Stegostoma tigrinum: one gene and its partner. The main gene of each other region encodes a partner of the protein of the gene in region 2 in a complex. Links are inferred from orthologs where the notes say so. Each region holds a gene or a part of one and is shown on either strand. Other genes may lie near its edges.

Region 1 (7,559 bases), on a different chromosome or scaffold from region 2:
CTCACAGGGACCACACAGAAATATCATGGAGACACATCAGCCTGCACAGAAAGACAGACGTTGTATGGCACATTATTTACCCACACAAGGCAGAGGCAAGACTTAAAGTGAAAAGCACAAGGCTTAAGAGGGGATTTGAGGATAACCTTTTTCACCCAGAGGGTGGTGGGGGTCTGGAATGCACTGCCTGGAGCTGCAAAACCTCACAATATTTCAAAAGGTACAGCAGACTTTCTATAATCCGATACCTATGGCACCAGGAGTATCCTGATTGATCAATTATTGCGGGTAATCAAGAGGTTCACATCAATGTAAAAACAGACACTAAATAACAGAAACGTAACGCCGGGAGTGTACACATCACCGTTATACTTCATTTATAGCTTAAATTAACTTAACTAATCACATGACCTCGCCTTCTCACTCATGCACCCAACTGACTTTGCAGACATCACAGTATTTGAGGACAAACTGACTCAAAATTGAATTAACTGTTGATATTTCATGTGGCCATTCGATTGGACATGTATGTTTACATTAAGGTAAATAACTATTAAAAACTAATAATTAGACAATAAACTTTATAATATTTGAAGTACACAAGTTTTGCTGGTTTATTTAGTACCTAGTCACAAGATGCTGGTTAAAAATACAGCTTGCTGTACTTGGAAGAGCACTTGACAACATCCAAGACTATGGGCCTAGCGTGGGAAAGCGGGGCCAGTATAGGTCACAGGGTGCTTTTGGTAGTACAGACACAAAGGGTCTCCTCCGTGTTGTACAATTCTACAGCTGACTGTAAACAAGGCGAAAACACGTGCGCACACACACAAGGAACAGTCGGGGAGGTTTACCTGTGCCAGCTCTTTGATCCTATAGCTGACCTCCTCAGTCAAGCTTTGGCACGTTTCCTCGGAGAGCTGGGAAATCCCTATGGACTCAGCGATCACCTTCATTGACTCGGTGGGAAGCAGCGTATTGCTGATCTTCACTTTTTTCTCATCGGCCATGCTTACCTCCCATCATACACCCTACGGAAAACAACCGAATGGAAGGAAAAAATTAATCCAGATGCACTTCGGGGCAAACCAACAGATCCAAACCGTGCAGCAGGAGACCTTTCTCATGCCCTCGTAGCGTTCCTATAACCCAAAGAGTGGCAGCTGATACTATAGCTCTGACATTTTTGCACTAGTTCCACCCAAAACGATCAGCTAACCTGTGTGGAGTATGTTTAAACACTTCTGGGGGAGGAAGATGAATGATGATCAGCTCTCCTCCTGTCTCGACCCGCCAATTGAGAAGCCCTGCAGGCTCTCGTTTCCGGCACCCACTTTGAACCGGCATCCCTCGCTTTTGTACAGTCCAGGGGGCAGGACAAAATGAATAAAGAATTATTTGGTTATATGGGCGCTGCTGGCAAAGCCAGGATTTATGGTGCCACCTCTATTGGCAGTTCAATCAAACGTCTTGCTAGACAATTTCAGTTAGGAGTCAGCCACTTCGCCGTGGGCCTGGAGTCACATGTAGGCCAGACCGGCTAGGGACGCCAGATTTTCTCCCCTGAACAACAGTGAACCAGACGGGTTTTGTGGCCTAAAAATGGTGCTCAGAAGAAACACCTTTCACCCGCACCGTCGATGGAAACCCCCAAATCTTTAAACGAGCTCTCAATTCTCCTACACAAAAAGGGGGGGGGGGGATATAATTTCAGCATCCACCACCCTCTGCTGCAATAAACTCATCTACACTCCAAGGAGTAATGATTCAAAGTTTCACCATAAGACCGCTGTCAAAGATTAGACAATACGTGGACCCCTCCAGGAATGCAGATAGGTAGGGATTATTCACGGTTACCTCCGTATCACTTTGCCCAGATCCCCTCTCCCCATGGGATGATTAGCTTGGAAGTTTCGGGGCGGCGGGGGGGGAGAAAAGAGTTGGGGGTTCGGAGAAAGAGAATAGACGTTAACTCCATTGCTTTCTCCACAGTCACTGCCAGGCCCTGCTGAGCTTCTCCAGCAATTTGTTTGTTTGTCGATTTCCAGAGTCTGCAGCATTTTGTGTGTGTGTGTGTGTATATATGCGTGTGTGTATATATGTATATATATATATATATGCGTGTGTGTATATATATATGCGTGTGTGTATATATATGTGTGTATGTATGTGTATACGTGTCTGTATATACATGCGTATATACATGTGCGTGCATATACATGCGTGTGCGTATATATATGTGTGTATATATGTGTATGTATATACATGTGCGTGTATGTATATACGTGTGTGTGTGTATACGTGTGTCTTTTTAATTATTATAATACTGTTGGAGGACGGAACGTGGCACGGGAGGAGGGACAGTTGGATGGAAAGGGAGACGGATCTCCACGGTGGAGAGAAGGGGATCTCGATGCAGTGTGAAGGGGGGATTGGGGATCCCAGCGGGGGGGGGGGGGGTGGGGGGGGAAGGAAAACGACCTTGAGGGAGGGAGGGATATCATTGGTGGGGTTAGGGCGAGGAGGGGGGAGCTTGAGTGAGTAGGATGTTGTTGCTGATGGTCTGGGTCATAAGCTCCCCGTCCCTCCCTCTCACTCACCCAGTGGATCTGCTGCTGCTGGGGCTGGGGCTGGGGCTGAGGGGGGGAGCAGCAGGCCCCCCCTCCCTCTCTACCCTAACACACACTTGTTTGGGTCCCTCCGTCCCCCTCCCCTTCTCCCTCCGTGTCTCTCAGGCTCTGACCCCGCCACCAGGCGCCATCTTGGTCGTGTCCTCCCGAGTCCCGGCTCCAGGCGGCGCCCCGCGGGCGCGCTCGCTCTCTCTCCCTCTCTCTCTCTCTCTCTCTCTCCCTCCCCCCCGGGGTCCGGGCCGATCTAACTCTCGCTCTGTATCTCCCGCTCCCCCCGTGCGGCTGAGGCCAGCCTCCGGCTCTCTCTCCCTCTCCGTCCCGGGATCCTCAGGACCAGGCCTGGTCCAGCGACCACGTGACACCGCCGGTGCCGACCTGCCCTCCCATTGGCTGAGGTGCCACGTGACTGGCCGCCCACCCGCTCTTCCCGCTGCTACGTCGCCGATTGGCTCAGGCGCGCCCCTGACGTCGCATACCCCCTCGCCCGCGATCCCTTTGCCGATTGGCCGATTCTCCGCCACCCCCGCACACGTGATGCTTCTTATACCATCGACGCGCGCGGCTTCTCCTCACTCCCGCTCCGGATGCGGAGAGCGAGACTTTGGTGGTGTTACAATTTTTCAACGTTTAGATTTAATATAGTGCACCTTGGCTACTCGTATCTGCAAGTGGAGGCTCCTGGCACGCTGACTTCATTTGCACTCCTCATACTGAAACATGCATTAAATACTAACTATGAAAAAAACCGCGGATGCTGTAAATCAGGAACAAAAACAAAGTTGCTAGAAAAGCTCAGCTGGTCTGGCAGCATCTGTGGAAGAAACAAATAGGAGAGTTAACGTTTCAGGTCCAGCAACCCTTCCTCAGAACTCCATCCTAACCGCTCCCCTCCCATGGTGAAATATTCCAATCCTGTATGGTCCCATAATTCGTTTACTCTCGCAGTTGGAATGCTGATGAGGCCATTCAGCCCTTCCATGCATGTTCTGACACTCACAACAATCATATATATACATATAGAACATAACAGCACAGTACAGGCCCTTCGGCCCTCGATGTTGTGCCGACCTGTCATACCGATCTCAAGCCCATCTAACCTACAATACTCCACGTACGTCCATATGCTTATCCAATGATGACTTCAATGTACCTAAAGTTGGCGAATCTACTACCGTTGCAGGCAAAGCGTTCCATTCCCTTACTACTCTGAGTAAAGAAACTACCTCTAACATCGATCCTATATCTTTCACCCCTCAATTTAAAGCTATGCCCCCTTGTGCTCGCCGTCACCATCCTAGGAAAAAGGCTCTCCCTATCCACCCTATCTAACCCTCTGATTATTTTATATGTTTCAATTAAGTCACCTCTCAACCTTCTTCTCTCTAATGAAAACAGCCTCAAGTCCTTCAGCCTTTCCTTGTAAGACATTCCCTCCATACCAGGCAACATCCTAGTAAATCTCCTCTGCACCCTTTCCAAAGCTTCCACATCCTTCTTATAATGCGGTGACCAGAACTGTACGCAATACTCCAAGCGCGGAGATTATGAGGTCACAATAGGAAAGTGGAACTCAGGCCACAATCATGGATGATCTCAACTCCACTTTCCTGCCCTGCTCACCCGTTACTTATTAAAAATCCGTCACACTCCTCAAATTAGCCATTAGCCCACATGGGATGTTGTAAAATCCTGACAGCATGGAAACGCACTATTCATTACAGAGATAGTAGCTGGATGAACACGGCAGGCCAAGCAGCATCAGAGGAGCAGGAAAGCTTTCCAAAGAAGGGTCTTGACCCAAAACATCAAACTTTCCTGCTCCTCTGATGCCGCTTGGCCAGCTGCGTTCATCTGGCTTCACATCGTGTTATCACACACTATTCGTGCCTGTTGAGTCCACATCGACCGTCTGCAAGTACCGCTATCCAGACCCATCCTGCTGCCCTATCCATGTAACCCTGCATTTCCCATGGCTAATCCACCGAGGATAGCCTGCACTTCCCTGGACATTACAGGGCAATTTAGCATGGCATTTGCTTGTGGAATTCATTGCCGCAGAGTGCAGTGGAGGCCGGGACGTTGGATGCCTTCAAGGCAGAGATCGACAAATTCTTGATCTCAAAAGGAATCAAGGGCTATGTGGAGAGTGCAGGGAAGTGGTGTTGAAATGCCCATCAGCCTTGATTTAAATGGCAGAGTGGACGTGATGGGCCGAATGGCCTTACTTCCACTCCTATGTCTTATGGCCAACCCACCCTAGTCTGCTAATTTTTGGACATAGGAGGAAACTCCTCATACATGACATTATCAGAGTGTGAAATCAAACCAGGGTCTCTACGGCTGTGATACAGCAGCGCTAACCACTGAGCCACCATGCTGCCTGTCTCAAAGAAGGGTGCAGAGGGGTGCCCAGGGCAGTCTCCAGGCTGGGGAAGCAGCTAGAAACCTAGCTAAGGGGGTCCCGGCTGAACCTCATTGGCCATTACAAGAAATAATTGAATTTAGCCCAATATTCTGTGCTAGATACCAGCCATTCACCCAACTAAGCTAACAGACAGCACCAAGTTAATAGGATCATGGCAAATGTTGGCATAAGGATTGGGACAGTCAGCTGTGATCATTATGAATGTCAGTGCAGGCTCTTGTTTCTTTACCAAGGCCACAAAGAATGATGAACGCTGGATGGAGCCAGTTTTCTATAGCGCCTTATCGATCTGCTCAGAGATAGCTTCACCCTTCTCTGCAGTGGCCAACAAACGCCACTTCAGGGTCTGGACATAGCGATACTGCTACCACCGTCACGAGGCGGGAGGTTTAAATTGGAGCAGCAGCCAATGGGAGCTTGGGTGGGGCGACTGGGCGGTGCTTATCCCGACACGTGGCCGTGTTCGGGGCGTGGAAGGCGGCGTGATTGGCTGTGGCCTCGAAGGCCCCGTTTATGTTTACCCCTCTGAATTGCCGAAGTGGTGGCGTCCCACGTGGGGTCTGACAACACTTAGGGCGGGGATATCATGAAGGGGCTCGGCATGCGGAAGGAGGTCGCGCCTGACTGGTTGGTACCGTTGTCACGTGCACCGGGGCATCAGCGCGACTGGCCGAATGGGCCGGGTCACCACGTGGGCCGTGAACACTATGATTGGCTGAAAGTTTGGAGGGGGGGGAATCGAGGCCGAAACGAAAGGCTACTGGGCGAAATCCCACGTGGGTGGTGGGAGTTTCTCTGCGATAGGCTGGCGTCGTGGCAACGTCCGCACATGCGTCTGTTTGATTGGCCGGTGCGGGCGTCACGTGGGGGGGCGGGCTCGTGTGATTGGCTGCCGCCTGCCAACTCGCGCCGGCACGGGGAAGGTGATGTTGCGGCTGTCGTTCTTGCTCTTTATTCCGCTGCTCGCTGATAGCGCGGCAGCGGAGGAGGAAGAAGGGGATAGGCTGCCCACGAAGTGCGAAGGTAAAGCGGAGGGAAAAGTGGACGGACATCTCAGGCCCCGCGCATCGGCTCCTCCGGGCGCCACGGAGGACAGCCCCCATGTGTTTTGGGGGGGGGGGAGGAACCACGGCGGGAGGTGGGGGTTAATAAGGACCTACCTGGTCGCCCATGGCAACCAGGTATCCAAGATGGCGGCGGCCCACGGCGGGGAGAGACTGGAGTCCAATGAGCAGCTGGTGTCTCCCTTTAACGTCTCCCAGCCTTGTATGGGATGGGTATGCCACCTTATTCCCGGCTTTCCAAAGTAAAATTATGCCCCTCTTCTGTGGGAGAAAGAAACTACGACGTAGAGGGTGGCACTAGTTGATCTGCAGTTGCAGTGGGCTGGCACAGCCATGATGGGCTGAATGTCCTGGCCTTCTCTTGTTTATTCTCTGTTGGGAATTGACGGTGTGTAAAATTACAACATTTAAAAGGCATCTGGAGGGTACGTGCTTAGGAAAGGCTGAGAGCGATATGGGCCAAATGCTGCCACATGGGAGTAGATTAATTAATAGAAGATAATAAAATGTGAGGCTGGATGAACACAGCAGGCCCAGCAGCATCTCAGGAGCACAAAAGCTGACGTTTCGGGCCTAGACCCTTCATCAGAGAGGGGGATGGGGTGAGGGTTCTGGAATAAATAGGGAGAGAGGGGGAGGCGGACCGAAGATGGAGAGAAAATAAGATAGGTGGAGAGGAGAGTATAGGTAGGGAGGGGATAGGTCAGTCCAGGGAAGACGGACAGGTCAAGGAGGTGGGATGTGGAGGTAGGTGGGAAATGGAGGTGCGGTTTGGGGTGGGAGGAAGGGATGGGTGAGAGGGAGAACAGGTTAGGGAGGCAGAGACAGGTTGGACTGGTTTTGGGATGCAGTGGGGGTAGGGGAAGAGCTGGGCCTGTTGTGTGGTGCAGTGGGTGGAGGGGAAGAACTGGGCTGGTTTTGGGATGCAGTGGGGGGAGGGGACGGACTGGGCTGGTTTTGGGATGTGGTGGGGGAAGGGGAGATTTTGAAGCTGGTGAAGTCCACATTGATACCATTGGGCTGCAGGGTTCCCAAGCGGAATATGAGTTGCTGTTCCTGCAACCTTCGGGTGGCATCATTGTGGCACTGCAGGAGGCCCAGGATGGACATGTCATCTAAAGAATGGGAGGGGGAGTGGAAATGGTTCACGACTGGGAGGTGCAGTTTTTATTGCGAACCGAGCGGAGGTGTTCTGCAAAGCGGTCCCCAAGCCTCCGCTTGGTTTCCCCAATGTAGAGAAAGCCACACCGGATAAAATGGATACAGTATACCACATTGGCAGATGTGCAGGTGAACCTCTGCTTAATATGGAAAGTCACCATGGGGCCTGGGATAGGGGTGAGGGAGGAGGTGTGGGGACAAGTGTAGCATTTCCTGCGGTTGCAGGGGAAGGTGCCGGGTGTGGTGGGGTTGGAGGGCAGTGTGGAACGAACAAGGGAG
Region 2 (7,346 bases):
CAAGGAGGTCACTGAATGGCTGGATGGAATCTGAAGGGAGAAGGTGACAGTCAGAAGTTGAAGTTTATATAGATACGAACGACAGGTAAAAAGAGGGATGAAGTTCTACAACAACAATCTAGGTAGCTACGTTATAGATTGACAAACAGGTCCTTAATGGTTGCAACCGCTGGATTACATCTGGTTCCACGTGTTAGTGAGCATAGGAATAGGCAGATCTCACCGTTAAATGGGTGGCTAAAAGAATTGGTGCAAGTCTAGAATCTTTAGATTCCGCGATGAGTGGGTCTATTTCCAGGGAAGGTGGGACCTGTACTAGTCCAATGGCTTCCACCGGACCCAGAAACTGGACCGATATCTGTGTGGTGTGGTGGGTAGGTGAATGAGTGGCTGGGGATTGTAAATTGCCCAGTGGGTGATATACAGTCAAATACAAAGGAAAAATCCAGTCTGTAAGACACACACACATATATAGTAAAGTTAAGGCACAAAGGAGCACAAGGCTGGATGGCATTTATTTTAATGCAATGAATTTTGCAAATAAGGCAGGTGAGGTGAGGATGATTGATTAATATATAGAAATATGCTCTCGTTCTTAACACTGAGGTATGGTTGTGAGGGGGGCAGGACAGACAGCTCAATATTCTGGAGTATAGAATCGTCAGGCTAGTTGAGAGCATAAGAGTAGTCATAACACTAATCAAGGAGTCAATTACTTGTCATTACTGTAATAAGGAGGGATGATATCTTAGAAGGTTCCTCAAATAAGACCACATGGGCAGAACTTAAAGAAGGGAAATCACATTTCTGGGAGTGTACTATACACCCTCAAACAGTAAAGGACTACCAAAAGAATACATATATCGGCTAAATCTCAAGAAGTGTAAAATAATAGGGCACAGTAAAAGGCAATTTCAAGCTTTCCTATATTACCTGCGATAGACAAAGTGTGAAAGGCTTAGAGGGAACAGAATTCTTAAAATGTACCAGGATATTTTTTAAAAGCGGGCAGTTCTCAACTTAATTTTAGGGAGAATATCCAAGCACGTGTGAGTAGCAGAGCACTTTGGTGATAGTGACCATACCTCAGTGAAATTTAAGGTTGTTGTGAAAAATGATAAAGATGGCCCAGAAGTAAAAGTTATGAACTGAGGGAAGGCTGACTTTAACATAAGACAGGATCTGACCAAATAGGAACAAAAAACAAAGTTGCTGGAAAAGCTCAGCAGGTCTGGTGGCATCTGTGGAGGAGAAAAGCGTTAAAATTTTAGGTCTGGTGACCCTTCTTCAGAACCCTTCTGACCAAATAGGACTGGCAGCAACTACTTCTAGGCTAGTCTACATTTCAACAGTAGGAGTCATTCAAAAGTGAAATAATGAAAGTAAAAGTACAAACAATTCAAGGCCATCTTGGATATCAAGCAATGTACACTATTGGTCAAGGAAATAAAGGAAGCTTTTGGCAGGTACTAAGTGCTCAAAACAGTGGAAGCTTACTGCTTATTTTGTACTCCATCATTTAAACTCCACTTCACTTAAATGGCAATGCCGAAGACAAAAAAATTAAGTTAGTATTAATCAATGTTTACTTTACAGGGATGTTCAGCTGCTAACACTAAAAAATAACATATTTTTTAAAAAACTGCAGATGCTCTAAATCAGAAACAAAAACAAAGCTGCTGGAAAAGCTCAGCAGGTCTGGCAACATCTGTAGGAAAAAAAAAGTTAACGTTGTGGGTCCAGTGACTCTTCCTCAGAACGGTTCTAAGGGTCACTGGACCCGAAATGTTAACTCTGTTTTCTCCTCCACAGATGCTGCCAGAGCTGCCGAGCTTTTCCTGATAATAACGTGCTCAGTCAGATTGGAGGTATCAGCTGAAATCTCAAAATCCATGAAGCTTGTCAATTGTAAACAACAAGCGCTACAAACAGGAACATCCAGGCTTGGTGAAAATGTTAGAAAGAGAGACTGAAACAGGCCACTTGGCCCTTCGAGCCAACTCCATTATTCAGGATGATCTGGGCTGATTTCCTTTCTGGCCTGTGTCCTCCCACACTATCCCAATATCCCGTAATACTCGAAAGATCCATTAATGTCAGCCTTCAATTGACAGAGCATCCCTGGCTGTGTGGGAGGGGGAAGAGAATTCCAAAGATTCTCAAACCTTTCCCGGTGAACCCTCCTCCAGACCCTAAGACACAGCCGATATTTGGGGCTGCAGGGAATCTGAAGGGGGAGGGCGAACAACCAGAGGGCGTGGGGAAAAGTCATCTCAGCACCCAACCTGTCAAGGTACCCCTTTGGGAACAATATGTTTTCGCCTGGACCGCCTCTCCATCTTCTGAAGTCCAGGGAGCTAGAGGCCTACAAGTGTAGAACGCGGGCTGGCTGTTCAGAGACAGGCTGTTTGGGTGAAGACTGTGTGTGCTGTAATGAGTGAGGTTGTGTCTGTGCCCGATGGATGGAGATCACAGGGTCTCAGGTACTCACACAGCTCGCTGTAACGATGGCAGCCCCGGGTCAGCTGCTCGATGTACCTGTTGAGCACGTCGGTGAGGATGTCGCAGGCCGTGACCTGCACCGAGTCCCATCCCAGAGCCTGGCAGATCTGAGCCACCGCCACCCGCAGCAAGGCCCTGCCGTAAGCGTCGCACATCCCGGCCTCAAAATACTGTTAAAATAAAACAGCTAATACCCAACCGGCCCCCCCCCCCACCAACTCTGTCCTTCAAGCGCGGCGGGTCGGCATGGCCTTATTCTGGGACTCCGTCTCTCTCTCTCTCTCCCTCCCTCCCTCCTTCATATCACCACCATCACTCCCCGGCCCAGCCAACTGACAGCACTGCTCCCGGAGCCGCCGCCGCCGCCGCTCGGCCCCTCACTCCCGAGCCGCCATGTTGTGCCCCCGACGCCCGCCGGCTCCTTGGACTCTCGGACACGACCCATCGAACGCCGGCAGCTCGAACGATCGAGGCAGCCGCATCGGCTCGTCAGGCCTGTCACTGTGGTTGCCCGGGCGACGGCGATTTAGAATAAATTGCCATCACCGCGCAGGGGCGGGGAAAGGAAGCGGTTTGCGGGGAAGAGGGGGAGATGGGCGGCCGGGGGGGGGGGGGGGGGGGGAGATGGGCGGCCGGGGGGGGGGGGGGGGGGGGGGGAGATGGGCGGCCGGGGGGGGGGGGGGGGGGGGGGGGAGATGGGCGGCCGGGGGGGGGGGGGGGGGGGGAGATGGGCGGCCGGGGGGGGGGGGGGGGGGGGGAGATGGGCGGCCGGGGGGGGGGGGGCGGGAAGAGGGGGAGATGGGCGGCGGGGGGGGCGGGAAGAGGGGGAGAGGGGGGGGGGGGGCGGGAAGAGGGGGAGAGGGGGGGGGGGGGCGGGAAGAGGGGGAGAGGGGGGGGGGGGCGGGCGGGCGGGCGGGCGGGCGGGCGGGCGGGGGCGGGGCGGGAAGAGGGGGAGATGGGGGGGCGGGGGGGGGGGGGGCGGGAAGAGGGGGAGATGGGCGGCCGGGGGGGGGGGGGGGGCGGGAAGAGGGGGAGATGGGCGGGCGGGGGGGGGCGGGGGGGGGGGGCGGGAAGAGGGGGAGATGGGCGGCCGGGGGGGGGCGGGGGGCGGGAAGAGGGGGAGATGGGCGGCCGGGGGGGGGGGGCGGGGGGGGCGGGGGGCGGGAAGAGGGGGAGATGGGCGGGCGGGCGGGGGGGGGGGCGGGAAGAGGGGGAGATGGGCGGGCGGGCGGGGGGGGGCGGGAAGAGGGGGCGGGGGGCGGGAAGAGGGGGAGATGGGCGGCCGGGGGGGGGGCGGGGGGGCGGGGGGGGGGGGGCGGGAAGAGGGGGAGATGGGGGGGCGGGGGGGGGGGGGGGCGGGAAGAGGGGGAGATGGGCGGCCGGGGGGGGGGGGCGGGGAGAGGGGGAGATGGGCGGCCGGGGGGGGGGGGCGGGGAGATGGGCGGCCGGGGGGGGGGGGGCGGGGAGATGGGCGGCCGGGGGGGGGGGGCGGGAAGAGGGGGAGATGGGCGGCCGGGGGGGGGGGCGGGAAGAGGGGGAGATGGGCGGCCGGGGGGGGGGCGGGGAGATGGGGGGGCGGGGAGATGGGCGGCCGGGGGGGGGGGGCGGGAAGAGGGGGAGATGGGCGGCCGGGGGGGGGGGGGGGGCGGGAAGAGGGGGAGATGGGCGGCCGGGGGGGGGGGGCGGGAAGAGGGGGAGATGGGCGGGCGGGAAGAGGGGGAGATGGGCGGCCGGGGGGGGGGGGGAGATGGGCGGCCGGGGGGGGGCGGGGGGGAGATGGGCGGCCGGGGGGGGCGGGGAGATGGGCGGCCGGGGGGGGGCGGGAAGAGGGGGAGATGGGCGGCCGGGGGGGGGCGGGAAGAGGGGGAGATGGGCGGCCGGGGTGGGGGTGGGGGGAGATGGGCCGCCGGGGTGGGGGGAGATGGGCCGCCGGGGTGGGGGTGGGGGGAGATGGGCCGCCGGGGTGGGGGTGGGGGTGGGGGGAGATGGGCCGCCGGGGTGGGGGTGGGGGTGGGGGGAGATGGGCCGCCGGGGTGGGGGTGGGGGGAGATGGGCCGCCGGGGTGGGGGTGGGGGGAGATGGGTGGCGGGTGGCGGCGGGGGTGGGGGTGGGGGAAGATGGGCGGCGGGGGTGGGGGGAGATGGGCGGAGGGGGTGGGGGGAGATGGGGGGCGGGGGTGGGGGGAGATGGGGGGCGGGGGTGGGGGGAGATGGGCGGCGGGGGTGGCGGCGGGGGTGGGGGGAGATGGGCGGCGGGGGTGGGGGGAGATGGGCGGCGGGGGCGGGGGTGGGGGGAGGTGGCGGCGGGGGAGGGGGGGGATGGGCGGCGGGGGTGGGGGGGGATGGGCGGCGGGGGTGGGGGAGATGGGCGGCGGGGGCGGGGGTGGGGGGAGATGGGCGGCGGGGGAGGGGGGGGATGGGCGGCGGGGGTGGGGGGGGATGGGCGGCGGGGGTGGGGGGAGATGGGCGGCGGGGGCGGGGGTGGGGGGAGATGGGCGGCGCGGGTGGGGGGAGATGGGCGGCGGGGCGGGGGGAGATGGGCGGCGGGGCGGGGGGAGATGGGCGGCGGGGCGGGGGGAGATGGGCGGCGGGGGCGGGGGTGGGGGGAGGTGGCGGCGGGGAGGGGGGGGGATGGGCGGCGGGGGTGGGGGGGGATGGGCGGCGGGGGTGGGGGGAGATGGGCGGCGGGGGCGGGGGTGGGGGGAGATGGGCGGCGGGGGAGGGGGGGGATGGGCGGCGGGGGTGGGGGGGGATGGGCGGCGGGGGTGGGGGGAGATGGGCGGCGGGGGCGGGGGTGGGGGGAGATGGGCGGCGCGGGTGGGGGGAGATGGGCGGCGGGGCGGGGGGAGATGGGCGGCGGGGCGGGGGGAGATGGGCGGCGGGGCGGGGGGAGATGGGCGGCGGGGGCGGGGGGAGATGGGCGGCGGGGGCGGGGGGAGATGGGGGGCGGGGGTGGGGGGAGATGGGGGGCGGGGGCGGGGGCGGGGGGAGATGGGGGGCGGGGGCGGGGGGAGATGGGGGACGGGGGCGGGGGGAGATGGGCGGGGGCGGGGGGAGATGGGGGACGGGGGCGGGGGGAGATGGGCGGCGGCGGGGGGAGATGGGCGGCGGGGGGGGCGGGGGGAGATGGGCGGCGGGGGGGGTGGGGGGAGATGGGCGGGGGGGGCGGTGGGAGATGGGCGGGGGGGGCGGTGGGAGATGGGCGGGGGGCGGCGGGGGGAGATGGGCGGCGGGGGCGGGGGGAGATGGGCGGCGGGGGCGGGGGTGGGGGGAGATGGGCGGCGGGGGTGGGGGGTGATGGGGGGCGGGGGCGGGGGCGGGGGTGGGGGGTGATGGGGGGTGGGGGCGGGGGAGGGGGGAGATGGGGGGCGGGGGTGGGGGGAGATGGGGGGCGGGGGTGGGGGGAGATGGGGGGCGGGGGCGGGGAGATGGGCGGCCGGGGGGGGGGGCGGGAAGAGGGGGAGATGGGCGGCCGGGGGGGGGGGGCGGGAAGAGGGGGAGATGGGCGGCCGGGGGGGGGGGGCGGGGAGATGGGCGGCCGGGGGGGGGGGCGGGAAGAGGGGGAGATGGGCGGCCGGGGGGGGGGGGGCGGGAAGAGGGGGAGATGGGCGGCCGGGGGGGGGGGCGGGGAGATGGGGGGGCGGGGAGATGGGCGGCCGGGGGGGGGGGGCGGGAAGAGGGGGAGATGGGCGGCCGGGGGGGGGGGGGGGCGGGAAGAGGGGGAGATGGGCGGCCGGGGGGGGGGGGCGGGAAGAGGGGGAGATGGGCGGGCGGGAAGAGGGGGAGATGGGCGGCCGGGGGGGGGGGGGAGATGGGCGGCCGGGGGGGGGCGGGGGGGGAGATGGGCGGCCGGGGGGGGGGGGGGAGATGGGCGGCCGGGGGGGGGCGGGAAGAGGGGGAGATGGGCGGCCGGGGGGGGGGCGGGAAGAGGGGGAGATGGGCGGCCGGGGTGGGGGTGGGGGGAGATGGGCCGCCGGGGTGGGGGGAGATGGGCCGCCGGGGTGGGGGTGGGGGGAGATGGGCCGCCGGGGTGGGGGTGGGGGTGGGGGGAGATGGGCCGCCGGGGTGGGGGTGGGGGTGGGGGGAGATGGGCCGCCGGGGTGGGGGTGGGGGTGGGGGGAGATGGGCCGCCGGGGTGGGGGTGGGGGGAGATGGGCCGCCGGGGTGGGGGTGGGGGGAGATGGGTGGCGGGTGGCGGCGGGGGTGGGGGTGGGGGAAGATGGGCGGCGGGGGTGGGGGGAGATGGGCGGAGGGGGTGGGGGGAGATGGGGGGCGGGGGTGGGGGGAGATGGGGGGCGGGGGTGGGGGGAGATGGGCGGCGGGGGTGGCGGCGGGGGTGGGGGGAGATGGGCGGCGGGGGTGGGGGGAGATGGGCGGCGGGGGCGGGGGTGGGGGGAGGTGGCGGCGGGGGAGGGGGGGGATGGGCGGCGGGGGTGGGGGGGGATGGGCGGCGGGGGTGGGGGGAGATGGGCGGCGGGGGCGGGGGTGGGGGGAGATGGGCGGCGGGGGAGGGGGGGGATGGGCGGCGGGGGTGGGGGGGGATGGGCGGCGGGGGTGGGGGGAGATGGGCGGCGGGGGCGGGGGTGGGGGGAGATGGGCGGCGCGGGTGGGGGGAGATGGGCGGCGGGGCGGGGGGAGATGGGCGGCGGGGCGGGGGGAGATGGGCGGCGGGGCGGGGGGAGATGGGCGGCGGGGGCGGGGGCGGGGGGAGATGGGCGGCGGGGGCGGGGGGAGATGGGCGGCGGGGGCGGGGGCGGGGGGAGATGGGCGGCGGGGGCGGGGGGAGATGGGGGGCGGGGGTGGGGGGAGATGGGGGGCGGGGGCGGGGGCGGGGGGAGATGGGGG

What was found. The genes of interacting proteins can lie anywhere in the genome.
Region 1: taf3 (region 2) and taf6 share a complex: the UniProt entries of both Homo sapiens proteins name them as parts of the TFIID basal transcription factor complex. The link is inferred for Stegostoma tigrinum from reciprocal best matches to the Homo sapiens genes TAF3 and TAF6.

Annotation. Positions count from the first base shown.
Region 1 is NC_081398.1:4,625,859-4,633,417, reverse strand, and holds the start of taf6 (transcription initiation factor TFIID subunit 6), read right to left. Parts: upstream 3,017-7,559; 5' UTR 2,601-3,016; intron 2,389-2,600; exon of another isoform or gene 1,220-2,388; intron 1,032-1,219; 5' UTR 1,011-1,031; coding exon 855-1,010; intron 1-854. Other genes in the region: cnpy4 (protein canopy 4), read left to right, coding at 5,982-6,078. UniProt on the Homo sapiens protein: The TFIID basal transcription factor complex plays a major role in the initiation of RNA polymerase II (Pol II)-dependent transcription.
Region 2 is NC_081378.1:7,658,546-7,665,891, reverse strand, and holds the start of taf3 (transcription initiation factor TFIID subunit 3), read right to left. Parts: upstream 3,001-7,346; 5' UTR 2,658-3,000; coding exon 2,492-2,657; intron 1-2,491. UniProt on the Homo sapiens protein: The TFIID basal transcription factor complex plays a major role in the initiation of RNA polymerase II (Pol II)-dependent transcription.